Sus scrofa: one gene and its partners. The main gene of each other region encodes a partner of the protein of the gene in region 4 in a complex. Links are inferred from orthologs where the notes say so. Each region holds a gene or a part of one and is shown on either strand. Other genes may lie near its edges. The genes, in order: FGFR3, FGF23, FGFR4 and KL.

The links.
Region 1: the proteins of KL (region 4) and FGFR3 are in contact, whole or in part, in a cryo-EM structure (PDB 7YSU), measured with the Homo sapiens proteins. The link is inferred for Sus scrofa from reciprocal best matches to the Homo sapiens genes KL and FGFR3. Residues at the interface, in NP_004786.2 of Homo sapiens: Ser539, Gln540, Phe541, Thr542, Asp543, Asn545, Val546, Tyr547, Leu548, Trp549, Asp550, Val551, Ser554, Lys555, Arg556, Leu557, Val563, Lys566, Arg568, Tyr571, Val573, Ala576, Pro580; in NP_000133.1 of Homo sapiens: Gln286, Leu288, His290, Val291, Val293, Gly299, Thr303, Pro304, Tyr305, Val306, Thr307, Val308, Leu309, Lys310, Glu320, Leu324, Ser325, Leu326, His327, Asn328, Val329, Glu332, Asp333, Thr338, Leu340, Phe347, His349.
Region 2: the proteins of KL (region 4) and FGF23 are in contact, whole or in part, in a cryo-EM structure (PDB 7YSH), measured with the Homo sapiens proteins. The link is inferred for Sus scrofa from reciprocal best matches to the Homo sapiens genes KL and FGF23. Residues at the interface, in NP_004786.2 of Homo sapiens: Phe377, Lys385, Leu389, Glu390, Pro392, Trp417, Phe418, Ser420, Lys429, Tyr432, Tyr433, Lys436, Phe437, Arg468, Ser471, Ile472, Arg556, Arg693, Asn694, Met695, Thr696, Tyr697, Ile735, Val752, Phe755, Asp756, Asn782, Asn783, Leu785, Ile812; in NP_065689.1 of Homo sapiens: Leu39, Met74, Ala80, Val88, Arg91, Leu166, Ile167, Phe169, Asn170, Ile173, Arg175, His177, Asp184, Ser185, Glu186, Arg187, Asp188, Pro189, Leu190, Asn191, Val192, Leu193, Lys194, Pro195, Arg196, Ala197, Arg198, Met199, Thr200, Pro201.
Region 3: the proteins of KL (region 4) and FGFR4 are in contact, whole or in part, in a cryo-EM structure (PDB 7YSW), measured with the Homo sapiens proteins. The link is inferred for Sus scrofa from reciprocal best matches to the Homo sapiens genes KL and FGFR4. Residues at the interface, in NP_004786.2 of Homo sapiens: Ser539, Gln540, Phe541, Thr542, Asp543, Asn545, Val546, Tyr547, Leu548, Trp549, Asp550, Val551, His553, Ser554, Lys555, Arg556, Leu557, Ile558, Val563, Thr565, Arg568, Tyr571, Val573, Ala576, Gln579, Pro580, Glu625, Arg628; in NP_001341913.1 of Homo sapiens: Asp266, Gln282, Leu284, His286, Ile287, Ile289, Gly295, Ala296, Asp297, Gly298, Phe299, Pro300, Tyr301, Val302, Gln303, Val304, Leu305, Lys306, Asn311, Ser312, Glu314, Leu318, Tyr319, Leu320, Arg321, Asn322, Asp327, Thr332, Leu334, Leu341.

What each region holds. Positions count from the first base shown.
Region 1 is NC_010450.4:892,294-895,505, reverse strand, and holds the end of FGFR3 (fibroblast growth factor receptor 3), read right to left. Parts: coding exon 3,130-3,212; intron 3,052-3,129; coding exon 2,929-3,051; intron 2,850-2,928; coding exon 2,779-2,849; intron 2,617-2,778; coding exon 2,479-2,616; intron 2,400-2,478; coding exon 2,294-2,399; intron 2,219-2,293; coding exon 2,072-2,218; 3' UTR 540-2,071; downstream 1-539.
Region 2 is NC_010447.5:66,027,299-66,031,398, forward strand, and holds the start of FGF23 (fibroblast growth factor 23), read left to right. Parts: upstream 1-1,292; 5' UTR 1,293-1,477; coding exon 1,478-1,673; intron 1,674-4,100. UniProt on the Homo sapiens protein: Regulator of phosphate homeostasis. Inhibits renal tubular phosphate transport by reducing SLC34A1 levels. Up-regulates EGR1 expression in the presence of KL. Acts directly on the parathyroid to decrease PTH secretion. Regulator of vitamin-D metabolism.
Region 3 is NC_010444.4:80,850,952-80,855,262, reverse strand, and holds the start of FGFR4 (fibroblast growth factor receptor 4), read left to right. Parts: upstream 1-1,471; 5' UTR 1,472-1,642; intron 1,643-4,311. UniProt on the Homo sapiens protein: Tyrosine-protein kinase that acts as a cell-surface receptor for fibroblast growth factors and plays a role in the regulation of cell proliferation, differentiation and migration, and in regulation of lipid metabolism, bile acid biosynthesis, glucose uptake, vitamin D metabolism and phosphate homeostasis.
Region 4 is NC_010453.5:9,425,795-9,430,077, forward strand, and holds the start of KL (klotho), read left to right. Parts: upstream 1-1,441; coding exon 1,442-2,251; intron 2,252-4,283. UniProt on the Homo sapiens protein: May have weak glycosidase activity towards glucuronylated steroids. However, it lacks essential active site Glu residues at positions 239 and 872, suggesting it may be inactive as a glycosidase in vivo.

The DNA of each region.
Region 1 (3,212 bases), on a different chromosome or scaffold from region 4:
CTCCACGGCTGGGGGCGATCTGGAACACGTGGGTCCAGATCTTGTCACTGGGCCTGTGGTAGCAAGGGGGGGGGGCACTGGAGGGGCCCAAGGGGGGTGCCTGGCCTGTGGGAGGGAGGGAAGCTGGCCAGGAGCAGGACTGTGGCCAGTAGTGCAGACACTTGAATCAAGGGACCAGGGGTGTCCACGGGGCTCTGTTGGGGGGGGGTTGCCCCATGGAGAAACCGCTCCCTCCCCACTGACTGGGAAGGCAGGTAAGAGGGGGGCGCGATGTGGCGGGGCTTGGACGCATCCTGTCCAAGCCGGAGACCTAGGCTAGACACCCCTGGAGAACACGAGGCCCAGGCAGCCTGTCCAGTTCACAGCCCCCGCCCCACCACTGCTCCAGCAGCAACTAGGGCTCCCTCCCTCCTCGGGGGACGGGGAGGGGGGATGGTGGCAGGGGGGAGGCGGGCAGATGACAGAACTTGCCCCAGCTGGGCAGGGAGGACATGGGAGCTGTCCGGATTCCAGGACAGGAGATAAGTTAAGCACGGATCTGAACCAGTTGTCTGTTTATTTTCTTCGGAAGGCACGTCTGCCAGTTTGGGCCAACACCTTTGGCCCCCACGAGGCTGGGGGCCATGAGAACAGAGCCCTACCCCAGCCCGCGACAGAAAACATCCGTCCAAACGCAAGGCTGTTACCGGTACAAAGAGTAATGAAACGGAAATTGCAGCTTTCTCTTCCAAGCTCTGAAAGGTAGTGCGGGCTATAAAAGTCCAGAAGCATTGCATAAGAAGTGTTAAATCTACAGCAAATACATCTTGTAAAAACTCAATAAATTATATATATAGATATATATAAACTCGTAATATCTAATAACATCTGAGCCTGTACGCAGGGCTGGCCCCCGCGGAACCTGCCTCCCTGCCTGGATCACATGGCAATTAGAACTTGTATGAAAATACCAGCTTGCTTTGAAGTTCAAAAAAATAAATCTCCTAAAGAAAATCCTATAGACATCTATGTCTCCTGCAAAAGAAGGCCAAAGGAAATCAAACAGCCTCCCTGGCATCACCTCAAACTACTCTCCCCCCTTCAGGGGGCCGGGGGCCGGCTCCGGCCGCGGATGGTGTGCTGGACGCATCCTCAGCCACCCCCCTAAACGAAGCATAAACCTTCTCACTGTTAATAAGTTAAAACTTAAACCTCTGCCACACGGCCAGCTAAGCACTAGGAGCCCGGGGAGCAACAGGGACACGGGCTCTGGGGGGGGGGGGTCCATAAATAGCTTTACAAATATACAGGTCCAGGTACAATCTTTACAACCAAACGCGGTGCCAGAGAAGCCCCTCCATCCTCTGCTGGTTTCTGCATCTGTTTCCATAGTGAGACCCCCAGGGGCCCTCCCCGAGTAGAGCCCCTCCGCCGCCTGCGCCCTCAGGGTCCCGCGCCTCAGTTGTACCAGCGTCCTCCTCCCATATAGGTATTTATATATATACGTATGTGTATATACCATATACACAGCATCTATGCATATAAATGTACACTCATCTCTGAAATAAACCTTTCGGATAGAAGTTGAAGGCTCCTGCCTTCAGGTACCCGTAATTTCAGTCTCTGAGGGGCAGCGGGGAGGTGGGGAGGCCTGGAGGTGGGGGCCGCTCACGCACCCCGGGCGCAGGTGCCACTGGGGTAGGAGGTGTGTCACGGGGGGCCCTTACCGGTAGGCTCAGCTTGGGCACTTGGAGGGGGCTCGGCCCACCCCGACATGCCCTGTGGGGCGGCAGTGGGGGGAAAGGGAGTGGGGGGCCCAGCTCCCTGCCCTGAGGAGCCCCTTGCATTCTACATTCGGTCCCCAGTGCTGCTGGCACAGGTGGCCGGGAGGTCACTGTCCAGCAGGGCAGGCACCCCAGGGACCCCTGCGCACACGCGTGTGCACGCACACCCACAAAGCCGTCTGTCCGCCCACCCGGACCCGTCTGGGTCTGGCCGGTGGGACGCGTGGTCACCCCGTGGCAGCCGCACGGTGGGCTGGGGTCCGCTCTCACATTGATGGGGGCTCGGCCCGCCCGCCGCCTGCGACCCTTCACGTCCGCGAGCCCCCGCCGCTGGGTGGGGCCGGAGGCAGCAGGTCGTGGGCAAACACCGAGTCGTCGCCTGAGGAGCTGGAGCTGGGCGTGTCCTGGCCGCCCGGCGAGTACTGCTCGAAGGGCACCGACAGGTCCAGGTACTCCTGCGGGCGGGGGCGGGGCGGGTCAGTGCCGCCCCCCCCCCCGCCCTCCCCCCCGGGGGCGGGACCAGCACTCACGTCGGTGGACGTCACCGTGAGGACGCGGTCCAGGTCCTCCACCAGCTGCTTGAAGGTGGGCCTCTGGGAGGGCGCGGCGTGCCAGCACTCCCGCATGATCATGTACCTGCGGGCGGCACTCAGGTCCGGCCCCGCCCGGTGCCCGCCCCCGCCCCCCCCAGCAGCGGCCGGGGCCGCGCACTCACAGGTCGTGTGTGCAGTTGGCCGGCTTGTCCATGCGGTGGCCTTCCTTCAGCAGCTTGAAGAGCTCCTCCACGGGGATGCCGGGGTACGGCGAGCCCCCCAGCGTGAAGATCTCCCACAGCAGAACCCCGAAGGACCAGCTGTGGGGGGGACCCGCACGTCAGCCTGCCCTGCGGCCCGCTGCCCCAGAACAGACGCTGCCGAGGGCGGGGGGCTGGCTCTGCCCCCACGGCTTCCCCGCCCCTGCCCTGGAGGGGCCTGGACCGACGCCCCCCTCCCCCCGCAGGGCTGGGGGCACGTACACATCACTCTGGTGGGTGTAGACGCGGTCGAACAAGGCCTCGGGTGCCATCCACTTCACGGGCAGCCGGCCCTGGGGGAGGAAGGGGGGTGTTGGCTCCCAGGCGCCCTCGGGCTCGAGCCCTGCGCCCCGCCCCGCGGGCCGGACTCACGTTGGTGGTCTTTTTGTAGTAGTCGAGGTTGTGCACGTCGCGGGCCAGGCCGAAGTCCGCGATCTTCATCACGTTGTCCTCCGTCACCAGCACGTTGCGGGCTGCCAGGTCCCTGTGGATGCACTGGGGGCGGGGCGGGGGCTGAGGCCTCCGGGCGGCGGCCGCTCTGCCCCCGCCCGCCCCGGCCGGCCCCCCGCTCACCTTCTGTGAGGCCAGGTACTCCATGCCCCGCGCCACCTGGTAGGCACAGGACACCAGGTCCTTGAAGGTGAGCTGCTCCTCGG
Region 2 (4,100 bases), on a different chromosome or scaffold from region 4:
TAAGAGGGCACATCCAGTCCCAGGAGCTAGGCATCCTATAGACACTGATTATGGGGACCCCTGGACTGCAGCTGTGCTGCTGGGACCTACCTTCCCAGGCTCTGCTCTCTGTGCTCAGTCAGCAGACTTCCCATTTTCATGAGGTCTCTGAATTGAGTGGTGCTAGGCAGTACAAATTAGGTGAAGCACGCCATCAAGCCAAAGATTGTCATAAAGCAGCCGTGACTTCGAGGCCTTTCTTCTTTACTCCCATCTTGAAATCTTCCCAAGGTGGCGACTTTGGTGCCTTGGGGGGGTCTCCCATATCTTCAGAGGAGGAGGCCTCGGAGGACACCATTGCCTGATGCTGTCCTGGGTTATGGCAGTATCCCTTGAAACACTCACCTAGTGGAGTTCCTGCTGTGGTGCAGTGGATTGAGAACCCAACTGCAGCGCCTCCGGTCTCTGTAGAGGCATAGGTTCAATCCCCAGCCCAGTGCAGTAGGTTAAATGATCTGTCATTGCTGCAGCTGTGGTGTATGTTTCAGCTGTGGCTCAGATTCTGTCGCTGACCTGGGAACCTCCGTATGCCACAGGTTTGGCCATAAAAATAAAAAAACAGGAGTATCTGTTGTGGTGCAATGGAAACGAATCCAACGAGGAACTATGAGGTTGCGGGTTTGACTCCTGGCCTCACCCAGTGGGTTAAGAATCCAGCGTGGCCATGAGCTGTGGTGTATGTAGGTCACAGTCTTGGCTTGGATCCGGCATTGCTGTGGCTGTGGCATAGACCAGCAGCTGTAGTTCTGATTTGACCCCTAGCCTGGGAACCTCCATATGCCGCAGGTGCGGCCTAAAAAGCCAAAAAAAAAAAAGGAGGGAAAAAATTAAAAAAACAAAAATCAAACAAAAAAAACCCCCCACACCCACCCAGTGCTGTGTACAGAGAAAGCTCTGGATGCACAGATCTTGATTGGAATTAAACAGACTGAGAAAACCAAAATGAGTGACTTGATGGGAGATTAATTACACAGGCGTCTGTCGACTACATGACCGAAGCTGGATTTTTTTCAGAACCGTGGGCTGCCTTCACATTTCCTGGTGGAAGTGAGGCGGGTCAGCGGACAACCCAGAGTCGTAGATAACTTTTGCCCACACATCATTCACTTTTTGGAGCATTGGCTTGAAACGTGTGTGTGTGTGTGTGTGTGTGTGTGTGTGTGTGTGTGGAACCGAAGTGCCTTCCGTGAGCCTCAAAGGTCCCTGTATTCTCTTCAAATGGGCTGATTACAACACAGAGGATGTGGACAGCGGAGTTTTTCCTGTTTGATGTCACAGTGCTACCCTTTAAAAGTCCGAGGGAAAAAAGGAGGGAATGCAGCCTGGGAGCCTCAGGCCAGAAACCGGTGAGGAAGAGAAATAGGTCTGCAAGGTCTCCAAGGAGCTGGGGAGGCAGGGTCAGATTTCAAATTCCGCGCCAGCCAGTCAGAGAGCGGCGATGCTGGGGGCCCGCCTCGGGCTCTGGGTCTGCACCCTGTGCTGTGCGGCCAGAGCCTATCCCGACACCTCCCCGCTGCTGAGCTCTGGCTGGGGCGGCCTGACCCACCTGTACACGGCCACGGCCAGGAACAGCTACCACCTGCAGATCCACAAGGATGGCCACGTGGATGGCTCACCCCAACAGACCATCTACAGTGAGTGGGGGTGCCGTCTGGGCTGGGAAGAAGGGGGGCTCCTCTGCGCACCCACTTGCAGGGACTTGGGAAGACTCTGGCTGGACCAGAGGGCTAATCCAGCCTCCTGGCTTCTTGTCCAGGATTCGTGTGAGTGTGTGTGTGTGTGTGTGTCTGTGTATTTAAACCTTGGGAGAAAATTCTGCCACCTCCTCAAACTCCCTAATATACCGGTTTCTCCCAACAAGAATAATTCCCATCTCAATTAAAATCTGTCTGCGCACGATAGCAGCCAGTTTCTCGTTGCCCTGTCCAAAGAATTAAAAAATGTCCAAAACATAGGCACGGAGGCTGGGAGGGAAAGAAGCCAGATCAGTCCGTAGACACTGAGTTTTGGCTCACGACTCGGTTAGCCGTGGAGGTTGTGAAGAAGATTCCCAAGGTTTGGAATGGATGAACCCAGGGGGCTCTTTCCAACCCCGAGCTTCCAGCCTTATAAAAGATCTCAGGAAAATGCATGAAAGACAGACTGTCTAGGAAGGAGGGTTTGATGCACCTGCCCCAGTGCATCCACACAGCCATCCCTGGGCTCATGCATCCCGCAGGTTTACTCGGGGCTTCAGCGGTACCCAGTATCGTATGAGCTAGTGAGTCTTCTCTGTGGAGCTGAAGGGTCCACTCAGCAGCAAATGAAACTGGCTGAGAACTCACTGAAAACATGAACACAACCAGAATGCCTTTAAAGATTAGGTCTGTGGAAAGTTGGATCACAACAGTCAGCCAGTTATAGCTGTGCTTCAGATATCTCCAGAAGGGACAATGGGGTGATGGCAAGACAAATTGAAAAAGACAAGGTCTTCTGTTTTAGGAGAACTTGTAAAAATTACTCTAAGGATGTAGAAAAAATGCCAACTGATTCCAAATAGGTCTGAGTAAAGGAATGAGAGAGTAATCATAGTCGCTTTAATCAAAGCCAATTTCTTATAGAATAATGGCTTGCCCTTTGTTGTTGTACTAAATTATTCAGTCATCCTGCCGCAGCCGTGCTGTATGCAAGACATTCATTCGGCCAAGAGTCAAAGGTCCGTAAACCTGGTAGCAAGATAGAAGCACATGCTTAGTTCAGAACCTCTTCAAATTCTCCACGGGTGATGACAGGAGATGAAGGGAAGGAGGAGGGTCTCCCAAATACCAAACAGGCTCCCGAACTCAGGGGAGGACAGTAGGACTCGGGAGTCAACATCTTGGAAGCCAAGTTTGAGTCCCATGGCGAGAATCTGAAAGAAATCTGGATACAGTTGACCTATCCAAATTATCGCTCGTTTTATTCAATGGCTATTTAGCACAACCTCCAGTGTGTCCGATATTATGCAAAGCCGTGTGACTTCAAAAGAAGCCCTGGCCTTTCCAACACCTCTAGACTTTCATCACTTCGGGTCTCTCAGCTCATTATCCGATTTTTAAGAAAAAGCAAATTTGCACCTCTCCTGGAGGGCCCCCTTTACTTCAAGATAAGAGGTGATTTAAAATGCAGGATAGTAGATTATGGTATTTTGATTCCCACAGATGGAAAAGGCTGCAGACAAGTAGAGAATGCTTGTAAAACTTATCTAGAATCATAGAATCCCTTTGATGAAAGGAGACTCCCAAGACACGTCCTGGGTGGGGGTTGTGAGTGGTGCCAGGAGGGGGATGGGCTCAGACGACTGAGCTTACGGCACCACTCCCGGAACTTGCCCTCCTGTATCCACCGACCTCAGCCCCCAGGAGGCACAGAGCACTAGTTGGAATGAATTAAAAAGACTGAGAGGACGCCAAGGGACTTGAACTGACTTTGGATTTCTTTTCTTCACAGAAATGTGCTTTTGTTCTGTCCAATATAGACCCTCACTAAAGCGTTGTGTCTCTGACAATTAACAAACGTGGGTGGGGACTGGGTGGGGATGGGTGGAAGGAAGACACGTTTTCTAGTTTATATAACCTTTTATACTATTCAAAACGGTTATCATAAGCATTATATAGCTATAATATATATAATTATATATTATTATATAATATATGTACATTGAGATTAAAACTTACCCAAAAAGGAATATATAATTATATATATAAGATTAAAAGTTACTAAAAAAGGAATATATATAATTATATATTACATAATATATAATTATACATTATATGTAATTATATATTATATAATTCCACATTATATATATATTATAGATGTATATATATATTACTTATACATTAAGATTAAAAGTTACCACTTATAAAGGAAGGAAGAAACACTGACGTGTGCAGCTAGGTGGCACAACTAAGTAACAGGCTGGAGAAGGATTTGTAATGACCTCTGTAAAGCGTGCAAAGCAATGCTCTTCCATAGACGTTAAGGTGTGAGGTGCTTTTTTCCCTCTCCTAATTAATTATACATTTCCAGTGAAATGTGTT
Region 3 (4,311 bases), on a different chromosome or scaffold from region 4:
ATGGATACTAGTTGTGTTCCCTTTCTGCTGAGCCACAAACTCCTCCTACTTTTAGTTTTTTGAGAAACCTCTATACCATTTTCCACAGTGGCTGCACAACTTTACATTCCCACCAACAGTGTATGAGGAAAACATGTCTGCTTTTGGTGACAACTTCTTGAGGATGATACTGTCATTCTACCTGTTTTACTGATGAGGAAATCAAGACACAGGGATGGAGTAACTTGATAAGTCCATGTGTGAAGGTGCTGAGCTTTGAGTCCTGCAATTTTTGCTCTGAATTACTTCACTCCCTTCTCACTACCCATGCTCACAGGAGCAAAGACCTGGAAGAGGAACCTGACAAATTTAAAGGGTTTCTCTGAGGAAGTGAGATGAAACCTAAGAATGAGATGGAACTAACCAGATCTAGAGGGAAAGATCACTCCAGGAAGAGGAACTATATTTGCAAAGGCCCGGAGGTAGCGGTGGGAGCAAGGAGGAAGTGAATGAAGACTTTATCTGAAGATGTGGGTGGGCCAGGTCAGGCCAAGAATCTCTATAGGAAGTTCTTGGAAAGTTTTAAAGCGGTGGCTGTGGTTGATACAGTCGTATTTTCTTTTCTTTTCTTTTTCTTTTGTCTTTTTAGGGCTGCACCCACAGCATACGGAGGTTCCCAGGCTAGGTGTCAAATGGGAGCTACAGCAGCCACAGCAACCTGAGATCCTAGCCACATCTGCGACCTACACCAGAACTTGAGGCAACGCTAGATCCTTAACACACTGAGCAAGGGCAGCGATACAACTCCTGTCCTCATGGATATTAAGTCAGGTTACTGTTATGGCTGGGCTATAATAGGAACTCCCATATTTGTATTTTAAATATCACTCTGGGAGTTCTCTTGTGGCACAACGGGTTAAGGATCCTGCGTTGTCACTGCAGTGACTTGGGTCGCTGCTGTGGCATGGATTCGATCCCTGGACCAGGAATTTCCACAGGCCGGAGGCGGCCAAAAAGGAAAAAAAATCACTCTGAAAGTTGTTCAGAGAACGGATGGGGGTACAAGCTGGGTAGGTCTACTAGCTACTGTATGACAATTGCGCAGAAGACAAAGGAGCCAGACTAAGCCAGAGTCTACGGAAATGGCGGGTCAGGACTGCTGGGTCTTGTCCCCAGAGGGATGAAGTGCAGGAGGTGGAGCAATGGACTAGAACTTGGAAGCCTGGCCTGGGTGAGGCAAATAAAGGCAGAATCGGAAGGGATGTGCCAGCTAGGATTGCCCCCCCGCCCCCCCCGTTCCCCCGCCCCGTAGGCCGCGGGGCGCTGATGGGTTCGAGGACTGGTCTCCAGGTGGGCGGGACGCTATGCCACCCGCTGTCAGGAGCTGGTCCAGGAGGGGCCAGGCCCGAGATGGGCGGGGCACTGGGCTGTTCCCGGCCCAGTCTCTGTCAGGACAGAGCTGGTCCAGGAGGGGAGGAGCCCAAAGTAGGCGAAACTCGAGGTGGGCGGGGCGCTGGGCCGCCCCGCGGCCACGCCGCTGTCGCGGGTGCATTCCTGGCTCTCCCGCCCGGGGCTGAGCAGCTCCCGGGCTGAGCCTGCCATCCCCGCTGGGCGCAGGGGTCGGGGCTGGTGGAAGCTGGGAGCCGGGCTGCAGAGGACCCAGGTGAGTCGGAACCCTGTGCTGGAAGCGGGTCCACGGAGGTTCGAGGTGAGCCGGGACCAGGCTGCGCTCCCAGCCGCCAGGGGGCGAGCGGCGGCGGGACTGGGAGCTGACCCCTCCCAGCACTGAGGACCTAGGCGTCCGCTCAGCCGGTGGGGGGGCGGGGGGGGTTGATGGGGACGGTAAATCAGTAACCCGCAGCGCACACAGGGCCTTTTGTCCCGCTCTGTCCAAAGAGCACCCGGGCCGCGGAGCTGGTTACTCATTGCCCACCGGGGCGGGGGCGGGCCGGCTGTCTCTGCAGCTCTCCTTCAGGACCCGTGACTGGCATTTGCCCCCAGCGAGGCTGGGTTGGGGTGGAGGAGGAAGAGCGCCCTGGTCCCTCTGTCCCCGACCGTGTGCGGGCTCCGAGTAGAGATAAGGAGGCTGTGGCTCTGAGAGGTGCAGTCATTTGTCCAGGGTCCCCCAGCGCTTGGGTGCGAGAGGCTGGAGAACACAAGACTACTTGTGCCAGAGTCAGGCCCTTCGGCCCCACGTGCTGGGCCGTCGGTCAGCGGCCCCTTGTGACCCGACTAAGGTTCTGAGGTCAGGGTAGCCTGGGGGTGGGATAAAAATCCCTGGGCCTCCCACTCCACTCCCAACCTAGAGAGCCGCCCTTTCTGCAGAGCAGAGCAGGGTGAGGGGATTTCACAGAGGAAGGGCAATGGAAGCCAGTGATGGGCACAGAGATAGTGGAAATTGTGTCTTCTGAGCTATGTGGAAAAGAGAAATGGGGAGCATGGAGGTATAGGCAAGAGAGAAGACGTGCAGTTTTGAAAACTAATGGTTTAACAGTACTGAAGTAGCAGAATGTGCAGCCAAAGATAGGGACAAGGGCATGGAGGGAGGCCTAGGATGCTGGATAAACAGTGTGGACTGGGTCCTGCTGCACATAGACAGCCATTAAGGGCTTGTAAGCTGGGGTGGGACAGACTTTTTTTTTTTTTTTTAATCAGCTTGATGTGGGATCTCAGTTCCCAGACTAGGGATTGAACTCTGGACCACACTGGTGAAAAGCACAGAGTCCTAACCACTAGGACACCAGGGAACTTCCCAGACTTGTCATTTTTGAAGCCCTGCTGGAGAACCCAGAGAGATGTTTGCAAAGGTCCAAGCTAGAGATGACCGTGGCATGCTCTAGATTCAAGCAGGGGAAGAGGGATGGACTGGAGAGGCGTTTGGAAAGTGATGCCCCAGTTGGAGGCAACTCAGGGAAGGAGCAGTTTGAAGCGGGAGATAATAACTTTGGCCAGGACACACCGAGTGCCACTTGCCTCAGAAGCAGAGCTGAAGAGGGAAAAGAGGCTAAGTAGAGAGGGTGCGATGGGACTCCTGGGCAAGGTAGATCCAGAAACACCAGCACCACCTGTTACCCAGCCCCAAGTGATAGCTGGTAGGCCCCTGGAACTACACTGGTCACCCTCTTCCTTTGCCCTGGCTGAGGTTCGGTTTTGAGTGTTCCTCTTGGGGGATGGAGACATCCTTGGTAGCATTTGGAGGAGGGTAATTGGATGGGGTGTGTGTGTGTACATCACACTTGAGGTGAGTAGCACCACAGAGAGAGGTGACTTCCCTGGCCAAGGGCAGACCCAGGGTGACAATCATGGGGAGGCAGATGGAGAAGAGAACATTCCAACATTATGTGTGCCCACCTCCTACATACATTCTCTTTTATCCTCAAAGTAGTCCTGGGAGGAGAGTGGCCCAGAGAGGGACAGGGACTTGCAAGTTGGTAAGAGTCAGGATTTGATCCTGGCTCTGTCAGACACTAGAGTGTACATCCTTTACAAGAGCTTGTGTTGCCTCAGATGGAGTTGTGGAAGCACAGAAAACAGAAGTATCTCCAGAATGCAGTTTTGGTTCAGAGTGTGAAAGAACTTCTGAGAGTTCCCTGGTGGCTCAGAGGGTTAAGGATTCAGCATTGCTGCTGCTCTGGCTTAGCTTTGATCCCTGATCCGGAAACTTCTGCATGCCTTGCAGGAGAGAGGACTTCTTTTGTAGTTTAGTGGGTTAAGAACCCGACATATTGAGTGTCGGCAAGGATGCAGGTTTGATCCCTGGCCTTGCTTAGTAGATTAAGAGTCTGCTGTTGCCACAAGCTGCAGCATAGGTCACAGATGCAGCTCGGATCCGGTGTTGCTATGGCTGTGGCCCCTAGCCCTGGATTTAACCCCTAGCCCAGGAACTTTCATATGCCACAGGTGTGGCCTTAAAAGGGGCGGGGGGGAGGAGTTCCTGTCATGGCTCAGCGGTAACAAACCTGACTATAGTATGCAGGAGGACTTGGGTTTGATCCGTAACCTCACTCAGTGGGTTAAGGATCTGGCTTTGTTGTGAGCTGTGGTGTAGGCCTGCAGCTGTAGCTCTGATTCGACCCCTAGCCTGGGAATTTCCATATGCCATGGGTGTGGCCCTAAAAAGACAAAAAAAAAAAAGAGAGAGAGCTTCCACTTGCCATAAAACGTACTGCCTTGTTAGTAGTGAGTGCCCTGCCACTGGAGGTGTCCAAAGCTGGTCATGGAAATGTCAGCAATGCGCTAAAGAGTGGGGATCAGATCAGATAACATCCAGATGCTGATATTTGGCCTTGTATTATATTTCAGATTTTTTTTTTTTGGCTCTTCAGTAATAAA
Region 4 (4,283 bases):
TCTATATGATGCTTAAAAAGAAACAAACCAAAAAAAAGAATGGATGTATTTCTATGAGGATCTTATTCATTACAGATGCAGGTGTGCCAGGATTGAGGCACATCGTATTAGAGAGAAAGGCGAAGATATCTGCAAGAGCTAATACATTTGTTGGGGCTTTCCACGTTTGAGTTCTCTGTGTGCACATCTTTTTTCATGTAAGCATCACAAGCCTCTAAGTTGGCAGGACAGACAGGCCATCTCCATTTTACAGATAGGATCCCAAGGCTTGGAGAGATTGTCCCTCCCAAGATCACAGAGGTGAAACCCGGACTCCACTCCTCTCCAGTTATTCACAGATCAGGTAAACACACTCAAAGGAGACACTGGGTCGCCACCATTTCTGTCTTCGGTAACCGGAAAAACGTCATTACTCTATTTTGATGTAGAGGGTGCTTGGGCTAAATCCCTCCTCCCTTTTCCCTTCACTGATCTGGTAGCCTGTGCGAGACCAGGGGGCTTCCTGAACCGGAGCTGAAAGCTAAAATGTGATTACTCAAAAAACAGATGCAAAGGGGTCGCAGAGGTGGATGATAGTTACAAACCTGTCTCTCTCTCTCTCTCCCTCCCCCCCCCCCAAGGACATTCACAACTGTCATTTGAAGTTTACCATTTCCGCAAGATGGAATTAGAGAACAAGTGGTCTGAGACCATTAAAAGATAACAGTAGGAGGGAGAGGAAAGCAAAGGCCATCGCAAGTCATGCATCTCCTTTGTCTTCCTCGAAAGCACCCTAGACTGGGCCCCACAGGACTTGCGATTCAGGCTGCGCGAGTCGAGTGGGTCTTCACGGGAGCATTGTCCCTGAAAAGACCTCAAGAGAAAATCCACCCCCAGTCCTTCTCTCCAAACATTGCAAGTTCCGACCTGGCCCTTCCTGCCCTGACCTCCCAGTACAATCTCCGCCAGTTCCCAACCGGCTCTAGTAAATGTCAGTCACTCGAAGAGAAAGCAGGTGCTTCCCTGCGGGAGGACCCGGAGAGGTCAGGCAAAGATCCTGCGCCCACCTCGGGAAAGTTGGGTGGCCGCCTTCCTTCGACGCGCCTCGGCTCGGCGGCTTCCTCCAGGAGGGTGCGCGGGTGGTATGTAGAAGGCGGCGCGCAGGGAACTCTCCTCGCTGAACCATCCCTAGCGGCCCCTGGGAGCCGGGAGGAACAGGTGCTTTTTCTCCGACGTCCGGGAGCGGCGCCTGCGGCACCTAGCCAGCTATCGCGCCCGGGTCGCCGGCGCCCGCTCGCCCTTTGCGCCCCCGCCCCCCAACCCAGGGCGGGGGGAGGCGCGGGGCCCCAGGTAATTATTGCCAGCAGGGCCCGCCGGGGAAGCGGGGGTGGGCGCGCCGGCGGGGGGCGGGCGGCGCGGGCATAAAGGGGCGCGGCGCCCCAGCGCCCGGCTCCCGCGCAGCATGCCCGCCCGCGCCCCGCCGCGCCGCCCGTGGCCGCCGCTGCCGCTGCCGCTGCTGCTGCTGGCCCTGAGCGGCCGCTGCCTGCGCGCCGAGCCCGGCGACGGCGCGCAGACCTGGGCCCGCTTCGCGCGCCCTCCGGCCCCTGAGGCTGCGGGGCTCCTGCACGACACCTTCCCCGACGGCTTCCTCTGGGCCGTGGGCAGCGCCGCCTACCAGACGGAGGGCGGCTGGCGGCAACACGGCAAGGGCGCGTCCATCTGGGACACTTTCACCCACCGCCCCGCTGCGCCCCTCAGCGGCCCCCCAGGAGCGGGCCTGCCGTCGGGCGTCCCGTCGCCGACCCTGCCCGCCACGGGGGACGTGGCCAGCGACAGCTACAACAACGTCTTCCGGGACACGGAGGGGCTGCGCGAACTCGGGGTCACTCACTACCGATTCTCCATCTCGTGGGCGCGGGTGCTCCCCACTGGCATCGCCAGCGCCCCCAACCGCGAGGGGCTGCGCTACTACCGGCGTCTGCTGGAGCGGTTGCGGGAGCTGGGCGTGCAGCCTGTGGTGACCCTGTACCACTGGGACCTGCCCCAGCGCTTGCAGGACACCTACGGAGGCTGGGCCAACCGCGCTCTAGCCGACCACTTCAGGGATTACGCTGAGCTGTGCTTCCGCCACTTCGGCGGCCAGGTCAAGTACTGGATCACCATTGACAACCCCTACGTGGTGGCCTGGCATGGCTATGCCACCGGGCGCCTGGCCCCCGGCGTCCGGGGCGGCCCGCAGCTTGGGTACTTGGTGGCGCACAACCTTCTCCTGGTGAGTTCGAGGGGCCACGCTGGGGAGAGGGCCGCAGGAGACGCCAGGGGGCTAGAGGAGTGGCTGAGCCTCCAGTCAGAGGAGGCTCCGTTTGAGCACATCTGTGAGGTCACCTGGGATTCACACCGGGGAGGATGGGAATGGCGGCTTGAGCATCTCGGGCTTCCCCGGAAGGCTTGGAGTTGAAATGGGAGGGAAGCCCTGCAGTTGGTGTCTGAATGAGTGCCCTTTTGAGCCCATTGTCAAAAAGAAATTGGAACCAGTTTCTCCTGTGAGAAAAGGGAGCTCCTTTCTCTGTGGGTAGAGATATTCCTAGAGGTAGGGTGCGGGAGGGCTAGGAGCAGCCACAGGGAGCATGAGGAGCACGGAGGAAAGAAACCAGTTTGTTCAGAAGTCACAGAGATAGCTTTACTCTCTGCTACAGTTTGTGGAAATGTCTGAGTTCAGTTTCAATCCAATAAAATCTATCTTGCTTGTGGCATAAATTCATGCTGCAGAGAATTTGAAGGTGTCAAAATCGCATCTCTTGCACAGCAGAGATGTGATTTGTCTTTGGAAGTTCTTTCTGTAGCAGGACTGAGAACTGCATCCCCCAGCCTTGCTTAATCAGCAGGGGTATGTATCACTCCTTATATAATCTTAAACAAAGCTACCCATAAAATGCAAAAACAATTACAGGGTGATACAGATTGGGTCCTACAACAACTGTATTTCCACGACGCTCTCTCCAGTTGGAAGGATTCCTCAGGGATGAGATTATTAGCCTGACAAAATTGATTTTTAACACCTTGTGCAAAAGGCTTAATAAATTTTGACAGCAGGAAGAATTGATGTGCCATGATAAAGCTGTCTCCCAAATAATTCTTCCTCCTTTTCCTCCTTTACTTAGTGCTCAAGATTAGATCTCATTGATTTGAGGGTTCATTTATAATGTCAGTTATTGGCACACTTTGTACAGAGATTTGTATGATGAGAGACTATTTTATATATATAGTGAAAGTGTTCAAATGTATAACTTTTGGCACCATATTTAGGTGATTTGTAGGCCAACTGGAAGATCTATTTTTAAGTTTAGAATTAAGCAACATACTTTGAACAAATTCAAGATGAAGACCACTGCTACACACTTTTAATTGAAGCCGTAGATAATTGAAGCAGAGCAGTACTGGGCTATCGAGTTGACTTACTGCCTGGAGCTGCTGGTAATGTTGTAATAGTGGCTAATTAGATTGTATGTCAGCTCCACAAAACCTGTTTGCTACCACAGATCATAAAAGAATGTGGGATTTGTTTGACAAAAAATTTGTGATTTTAGTGATTCCATATTGATAGATATTTTTCATTAAGATACTTTAGACCAGTGATAATCAACTTTTTCAGTCTGTTAATTCTTTTAAGGAATCAGAAGACTCCAAATAGTACCTGTTCATGGTTGGTCATAGAAAAACTGTGGGAAAAGCTGGCCCCTCTTTTGAAGAAAATACAAGCAAATTTCAGTTTATACCATAAACAAGAGATTTGTGGACCAAGTGAAGGACCTAATAGGCCACTCCTGCAAAGTCACTACTTTATATTTAAATCAAATGAGTTCTATTTTTAAATGCATGTAATAAGCCCTATGGATATAAAATTATCAATTGTTATTATAGACACTTCCAGGATTGTTCCATGAACAAGATAGGATTTGGGACTACAGGAGCTTTCTAGTACTCTGGTATTTTAAATAGTCAACATGCTTTTGATTCTTGTGCCCACTCTTGGTCTTTTGATTAACTTCCCAGTTATATTTTTGTATCCTTACACAAAACCTTGCCAAACACTAACTATTCTTCCCAGAAATGCAGTGAACTTTGTGTTCATAAGAAATTAGTCACTGGTGGACAGTTGGTTTTGCTGATGCTGCAAACAAAACTATTGTTGCTGTAAAATATTAATTTTGCTTTCACATTTCTTTGGTTTGGAGTGTAGTCATTCTTGCATCTTCTGAAGTAAGTTGTCATGATCAAAAATGGTGTCTTAATGTTTTCCTATG